2 linked regions of the Ovis aries genome follow. The protein of the gene in region 1 purifies or fractionates together with the protein of each later gene. This does not show direct contact. Links are inferred from orthologs where the notes say so. Each region holds a gene or a part of one and is shown in the gene's direction. Other genes may lie near its edges.

The links.
Region 2: the proteins of PITPNM3 (region 1) and VAPA purify together in Homo sapiens (co-immunoprecipitation; 3 studies listed by BioGRID and IntAct, with this or other methods). This does not show direct contact. The link is inferred for Ovis aries from reciprocal best matches to the Homo sapiens genes PITPNM3 and VAPA.

What each region holds. Positions count from the first base shown.
Region 1 is NC_056064.1:25,206,171-25,210,509, forward strand, and holds the start of PITPNM3 (membrane-associated phosphatidylinositol transfer protein 3), read left to right. Parts: upstream 1-1,322; 5' UTR 1,323-1,418; coding exon 1,419-1,440; intron 1,441-4,339. UniProt on the Homo sapiens protein: Catalyzes the transfer of phosphatidylinositol and phosphatidylcholine between membranes (in vitro). Binds calcium ions.
Region 2 is NC_056076.1:42,442,375-42,445,228, forward strand, and holds the end of VAPA (vesicle-associated membrane protein-associated protein A), read left to right. Parts: intron 1-1,345; coding exon 1,346-1,504; 3' UTR 1,505-2,125; downstream 2,126-2,854. UniProt on the Homo sapiens protein: Endoplasmic reticulum (ER)-anchored protein that mediates the formation of contact sites between the ER and endosomes via interaction with FFAT motif-containing proteins such as STARD3 or WDR44.

The sequences.
Region 1 (4,339 bases):
GACAAAGTCCCAGAGTGAGGGAGTCAATGCTGGGCCAAATGCCCGCTGAGGACCCGTTTAGCCCCATGCGTGCCCTGTTTCTATAGACGGGTTAATGGGACCCTGGAGCTGGGACCGTGGCTAGCCTGAGCATGGAATTATTCTTTTCCCTGAACAGCCGGAGTGCGACAGGGTGGGTGGGGAGCTTGGCTACAGGTTGCAACTGGGTTTTAGCCCTTTCCAGTTCCTCGGAAGGAAGCAGAGAGTATCTTCCCAAGGGAGCTTAGCTTGGGGGAGGTTGAAAAGTCACCTGAGAACAGATACCCCCTAGCCCTCTCCAGCAGCAGACAGCCAGGCAGCCGGCTATGGGGGTGTTGGGAGCTGCCAGAGCCTGGTCAGCCATCTGTTGGGCCCATGGATCTGGCCCAGCCCTGGGCTAGGGATAAGACTGCTCTCTCCCCTGAGCCTCCCATCTGGCTACCCCCCCCCCCAAGTGCCAGTGAGACAACTGGCCTTCTCTCATCCCCTTTTGGGGCTGGACCGTGAATCCCTGGCCACCACCAGGCAGAAGCCACAACACCAACCTTCCTAGCCTCTGCTAGGCCTGTTCACCAGGATGTCTGCCCCCTAGGTTTGGGAAGCGAAAGTGGGCTATTGCTCACCGCTAGGCTCCTGGCCTCCCCAAACTGCTCCAGCCTGGAATCCCAGGGGGGCTCTGCATGTGTTTTTACACCTTCTTTTAGAGCTAAGGGCACAGAAATCCCTTCCCGTCTGAGGCTAGTTTACACCCAGGTTCTGGATCCCAGAAAACGATTCCTTGGACTGGGGGCTGATGGAGGGTCCATCTCGCCTCCGATCCCTGGAGCCACCTCCCTCTTGGCTTCCCGGGAGCCCTCCCCAGGTCCTTCTTCCTGTCTCTCCTCTCTGCTCTCCGTCACTCTCCAGGTGCCAGGGAAGCGAGTCTGCTCCGAATTTCTCTCCCCCTCTCCCGTCGGGGTTTCGGCCCCAGAGGTGTCTCTAGTGCCCAGTGTCCGTGGCTCTCGCCCCCGACTCCAGGTCCGCGTGCCCATCTCCGCCCGGACCGCAGTGTCTCCGCGTCTCCGCGCCCGTCCGGGGCTCGGAGCGGAGCGTGTTGGAGCGGCGGCCGCGGCCCCGGGCGGGAGTGCGGGCCCGCGGGGGCGGCGTTGGGCGCCTTCCTCCGTCAGGCCCTCCCCGGCAGCGCGGGGGGGCCGGCGCGGCCGCCGCTCGGCGCCTTTAAGGGAGCGGGAGGGAGCGGCGAGGCGGCGGCGGCTGCGGTGGCGGCGGCCGCGGCGAGCGGGGCGGGGGCGCGGGGCGCGGCGCTCGGAGTCCGCTCGCGGCCGGAGGCGGCTGGGCGGCCGGGACTGGGCTGGGAGCCGCGAGGAGCGCGCGCAGCGCCGCCGGAGCCCGCCGCCCGGGCCATGGCCAAGGCGGGCCGTGCAGGTGAGGGCGGGCGCCGGGAGGGCCGGGCCGCCAGCGGGGGGAGGGACTCGCGCGGCTCGAGGTGGGGGGGCCGCCGGTCCAGGTGAGCCCCCGGCGCAGGTGGGCGGAGGTTCTGGGCGGGCCGAGCGGGCGGCGGCGCGGCCGGCCCCCTGGGAGCGTGGAGAGGGGGCTCCGCGCGCCCCGCGTCCTTCCTGCGCCCCCGGTCACCTCGTGGGACACCGCGTCCCCTCGCCACCGCCCCTCTGGAAAGGGCTAGGTCCGCGGCGCCCCTGCCCGGCCCGGCGGAGGGGAACGATCGCCACCCTCCCGAGACCCTGGGCAGACCCGGGCGCGGGGAACGAAGGCGAGGTCCCGCGGCTGCCGCTCTATCCCACGCCCCCCGCCCCAACCCCAGCGCCAACCAGGACGCGCCCCCTTGTCCTGCCGCTCTCGCTATCCAGGGCGCGACAACCAACTACCCCCCGCCTCCCCGCCCCCAGCTCAGGCAGGAGACCCAGATTTCTTCTGGGGAAGGAGGGGTGCTCCGCTCCACACCGGCTTGTGAGCCGTCCCGCCCCCTCCCCCTCCCGGACCCTGGGAAGCAGAGCCTCGGGGCCCGAAGTCTGAAGGGTGGGGGGTGCTCTTCTGCGGTCCCCAGGGCTCTGCCCTCCCCCAGACCCAGGCCGTGTGGTCCGGGGTGTGAGGGAGTGGGCGTTAGTCATTTCTTCATTCATTCGGCCAGACGTTCATTCACCAACATCTGCTTTGTGCCAGGCCCAGAGCTGGGCACTGGGATGAGGAGGTGGACCAGACGCTGCCCCTGTTCGCACTCTCTGGGCCCGAGGGTGACTTGAGAGGGCGCTGCAACGAGGGTGGCAGCAAGCCTGGTCGCAGCAGGGCCGGCTTTCGAGGCTGGCATGTGTAAATCTCCTATGCACTCACACCCAGCCTGTGACGTTGGCAGGTGCCATGGCACCCCCTCGGACTCAGCAATGGTTTGGCACGAACCCCACCCTCTCTCCGTCAGTGGTGGCAGAGATGGAATGAGTGTGAGTTCACTTCTGCACACACTTGGAGTGGATTCTGCTGGGCTGTGTGTGTGTAAAGCCACTGCCACCCCTTGGATGCTGCCCTGATCCTGGACCAGGTCCCGATGCTCCTATACATATGCTGGGTGTGTGCTTTGGGTGCCTGAGAATATACTCCTGTTCTGTCCCCTGGAGTCCTGTCTGGGTGGGGCTGGTTGTGTGCGACACAGCCAGTGAGGAACACATCTAAACACTCCCTTTCTCACTTCCCTCCCTTTTCCTCTCCAAAGGGAGGCACCAGGAGATGACACCCATGGGGCTGGAAAAGGCGGTCTCCTTGGGTCCTTGCCCACCCCAATTACTCACACAAGAGCACATGGCAGGTGTGTGTCCCCCACACTGTCCTCGCGCCTTGTGTGCATGCATGTGCAAGTTCATGCACGCCCCTTGCACACTTCACCTACCCGAACACCGTCAACACAACAGCAGTTAACAATCGCTGCTTTTACTAGGCACCAGGCAATGTGCACCACCATCCCGGGAGGCAGGAAGTGTTACTCTTCCCTTCTGAAAACATCTGCAAACCGAAACTCAAAGAAATACCTCCATCCAGGTGGCCCAGAGGGTCTGGGCAGAGCCTGGATGTCGGGCCAGACTGTAAGGACTTCTAACGATGGATTTTCTCCAATGTTACCCTCAGAGGTTCCAGCCCTTCCACCTTGGTCCGTGTGTCATTTGGTCTCTAGACCAAGAGTCCGTGGGAATTTGTTCCTGTGACAGGTGAAGAACTGCTCTGCCCTGAGCATCGGTGCCTCGTGCTATTCTAACATCTTGTCTTTCCTGCTGCAATTTCATGCTTGGCCCTTTCCCTCAGGGCAGCATGGACCCCCCCTCCCCGCCTTTCTCCTCCATGGGTCCAACAGCCCAAGCTTCTCCCTCCCACGCTCAGCTGCCACCCCAAGGAGCCTTTGGGATCGACCCTAGCAAGATCGGATTACTCCTCCTCTTCTGAGTTCTTCCAGGCTCCTTTGCATTTTGTAAAAGTCCCTTCTCTTCCTAAGCCTTCTAAGCTTGTTGACTTGAAGACAGCAGGCAGTAATGTGTGCATGGAGATCGAAGTCTGTGAGGATGGACTGGGGAGCTTTACAACAGAGGGAGTCCTTGGCGACAGGGGCTCAGGTCCTTCTCTTTACAGCTAGAGAAACTGAGACCCAAGGATGGGATGTGACACAGACAGGGGTGGCTATTCAGGACCATCTACTGTGGATGGACAGACTGACAGAAATGATCAGGCCTTCACCCTGGGGGTGACATTAGAACTGGGGAAGGGTGAAGGCTGTGAGAATCTGGCCTGTGAATGAAAGAGTCTGCTCTGTGGCCTATGAGGTGTTCTGTCTAAATCTGGCCAAGGGGACCATTGACTAGAGATAGAGGTTTGGGTCTCAGAGCCGCCCTAGTGCCTGACTCCAAGGTCATTGCATTGTAGTCCTGTGAGAGCAGCCCAGACTTGTGCAGTGCACACCCTAAGCAACCAGCCATGGCTGTGTCAACAGAGTCACACAGGAGCTGAAGGGAGGCAGTGAAAGGAGCTTCCATGTTGCCAGGAGAACCCAGGTACAAGAGAAAATGTAATCAAGTCTTAGAAAGGATTGGATAAATGGCAGGGGGTGGATCCCAAATGGGAAGGTTTCAGTCACACAGACCAGGATGGTTATGGTGCCCTGTGTCCAGTCTTGACAGAAAAGGCTAGGCAAGGAGAGCCCTTGGTCTTGGCCTGAGAGAGCGCTCGATCTACTGGACAAAGGAGGAGAGATACTACCTATGGGATGAAAGTCTGTAGGAGGGAGGAGAGGGGGATAGTGGGGAGGGTCTGGGAAATGACCTCTTACAAT
Region 2 (2,854 bases), on another chromosome or scaffold:
CCAAGGCCCCTGCCCTGAACACCTACCTGGAGGGTGGAGAGATGCCCTCTGTTTCACAACCACACACAGCTCCATCCAGTTGTAAGGGGGCTGCTGTTTGCCCTTTTCCTTTACCTGCCATGACCTCAGTTCTGTGTTTGGTGGACGGTGTGCTCCCTGGCTGCTGAGCCCAGGTGTTCAGAGAGCTGAGGCCTGAATGCCAGGAACTGCCAGGCTGGGAGACAGGTGATGGAATTGACTGATGTTCTCTAGGAGATGCTGTTTGAAGAAGCATCCTACTTTTTAAAAGATGAAAGAACCCTGAAGACCGCTGGTGCACTGAGTTGACCTCTGGCCCTTTAACAGCTCACATCGAGGCTGGCGTTGCGGCAGCCTTCCTGGGCAGGATCTCCCCACTGCCCTTCACCTCCCCACCCCCGCTTCCTCATCCAGCCTGTTCATCGAGTGTGCTGTGAACTCTTACCCCATGTCCGGGCCACACTCCAGACCCAGGGAGGCAGAGTCATCTGGAGTGCCTTTTACAGTTCTCTCTGGGACCGAGAGTCATTGTGTCCACATAGGACTAACCAGAACAAGACCCAAACCCACAGCCCCTCCGAGCAGCCGGTCATGCAGGCAGACAGCGTGGCGCCCAGTGCATGTGGTGTTACTGGAGAACGCACCGGGGGTGCAGTGCGAGAAGTGAGACCGGCCTGTGCTGAGGAGGTGAAGTGGTGCCCCCGCTCTGGTCACGGTGGCAGGCCAGGTGGAGCCGGCTGCCTTGGCGCACAGGTCATTCTGAAGCTGGTGAAGTGTCGTAACAGCCTCCTGCTTTGAGTGACTGCTGTCATGTTACTGAGAACCTTGTCCCCTAAAGTCCCAGACTGACTGTCAGAAACTACTGTGTGAGACAGCATCAGTCAGGATGGAGCGGCCGCTCTGGTCTGGAAGTGGAGATCACCTTGCAGAAAAGCGGTCTCCAGTCCAGGCGCAGAGCCTTGGGGCGGGGTCCTGCGAGCAGCTCTCCCCCTCTGTTGGGTCCCGCCTTTCTCACAAAACAGGGTCCTGTGTCTCCTCCGTGGTCCAGGCCGGGTGCCAGCCCTTTACTCACACCCTCCCTCTCCCTCAGTCCCGCAGGGTCCCGGCTCTTCCTGTGTGGGGCTGGCTTGCCATGTGTCTGTAAGCTGGACTCTGACTAGCACTGACCTGTTTCTGGTCGTCTGTGGCTGAAGGGCCCGTTGTGAGGACACTGTGGGCCCCCCAGGTCACCTGCATATGGCTCTGTTGTCTGCCTGTGGGTTTGTAGCTTGTGGTCTGATGCACATTTGTCTTTGAAACCTCTTTTTGTGCCTGTGTTTTTTCCTAGGATGAAGGCTTACGGCTCAGGAAGGTAGCACATTCGGATAAACCTGGATCCACCTCAGCTGTGTCCTTCAGAGAGAACGTCACCAGTCCTCTTCCTTCACTCCTTGTTGTCATTGCAGCCATTTTCATTGGATTCTTTCTAGGGAAGTTCATCTTGTAGAGTGGAGCATGCAGAGTGCTATTTCTTTTTTTCCTCTTGACCAGAAAAGATTCGTTTACCTGCCATCTCACTGGTAGTGTGGCCCACGGTGACCATGTGGCCCACGGTGGCCATGCTTTGTGTGTACAGCGTCATGTAGGCCTCGCCCGTAACGGTCTCACGGTTAGAAAGAAACGCGTAAGAGCAGAGTGCTGGGCTCCGGACAGCGCCACCGCCATCAGACCGTCCCTAGCAGGCGTCATTGCACATTCAGTCCTTTATGAAATTCATAAATAAAGAATTGTTCTTTCTTTGTGGTTTTAATAAGAGTTCAAGAATTGTTCAGAGTCTTGTAAATGTTATTTTAATAATCCCTTTAAATTTTATCTGTTGCTGTTACCTCTTGAAATATGATTTATTTAGATTGCTAATCCCACTCATTCAGGAAATGCCAAGAGGTATTCTGTGGGGAAATGGTGCCTCGTACAGTGTAAATTTTCTCCTTCACCTTTGCTAATATCATGGCAGAATTTTTCTTATCCCTTGTGAGGCAGTTGTTGACTGAGTTTTTCATCCTTCCAATCCTGTCCAATGGTATTTAACACAAAAATAATAAAACTGTTAACAGATTCTTGCTCGATAGCTTGTTGTGTCTGTCGTGTCCTGAGGCGGGTGTCAGGGAGCACGCTGTGTGGCGATGTGGGTTATGAAATGCATGACTTACGGAAACCCCTGCAGGTGTCATGGTGTTTGTGGTTCAAAGGCCTCATTCCTTTAAGGAAAGGAATTGATAAGATTTCAGGACATTTTTGGTATTTTGGAAGGTCATAATCCGCTTGTCTTCAAGATAATACAAAATAAGCAAATACCATGAGAATTTTAAAAAAGTGCTGTAATGTCAGTTTACGTGTCTGCCCTGTGGCATGATTCTGTTTACTTTATCCTGTTCTTAGGTTCTTTGAGTATCTATCTTCTCAAGAAAGACTAATTTTCCTTGGTTCTAATCACTGCTTTTTGACCAGCCTAGTGATTTTGTAGCATCTCAGAATAATACTTAAACGTACCCCCGCAGCTCCCCCCAGCCCCGGTCCAATTTGACATGTGAGGTAACTTCCATTATGGAATTTTGGTATTACCGAGTAAGCCTGGGGAATTCCTTTGTGAAAAATGACCGTCTCTGCAGGTCTCTGTGTCAACCACGTGAAGTGGGTTTTTGGTGTAACTGCGTGGCAGGGTCTGGTGTACTTCCCTGCACTTAAGTCTCACTTAGTTACTTCTGTGTTGGCATAGAAAATTGTGAAACTAGAAAAAATAGATTCACTTTTTCTACTGAGTACAATCTAATCCAAGCAAATGTTGATTTTTGAAAAT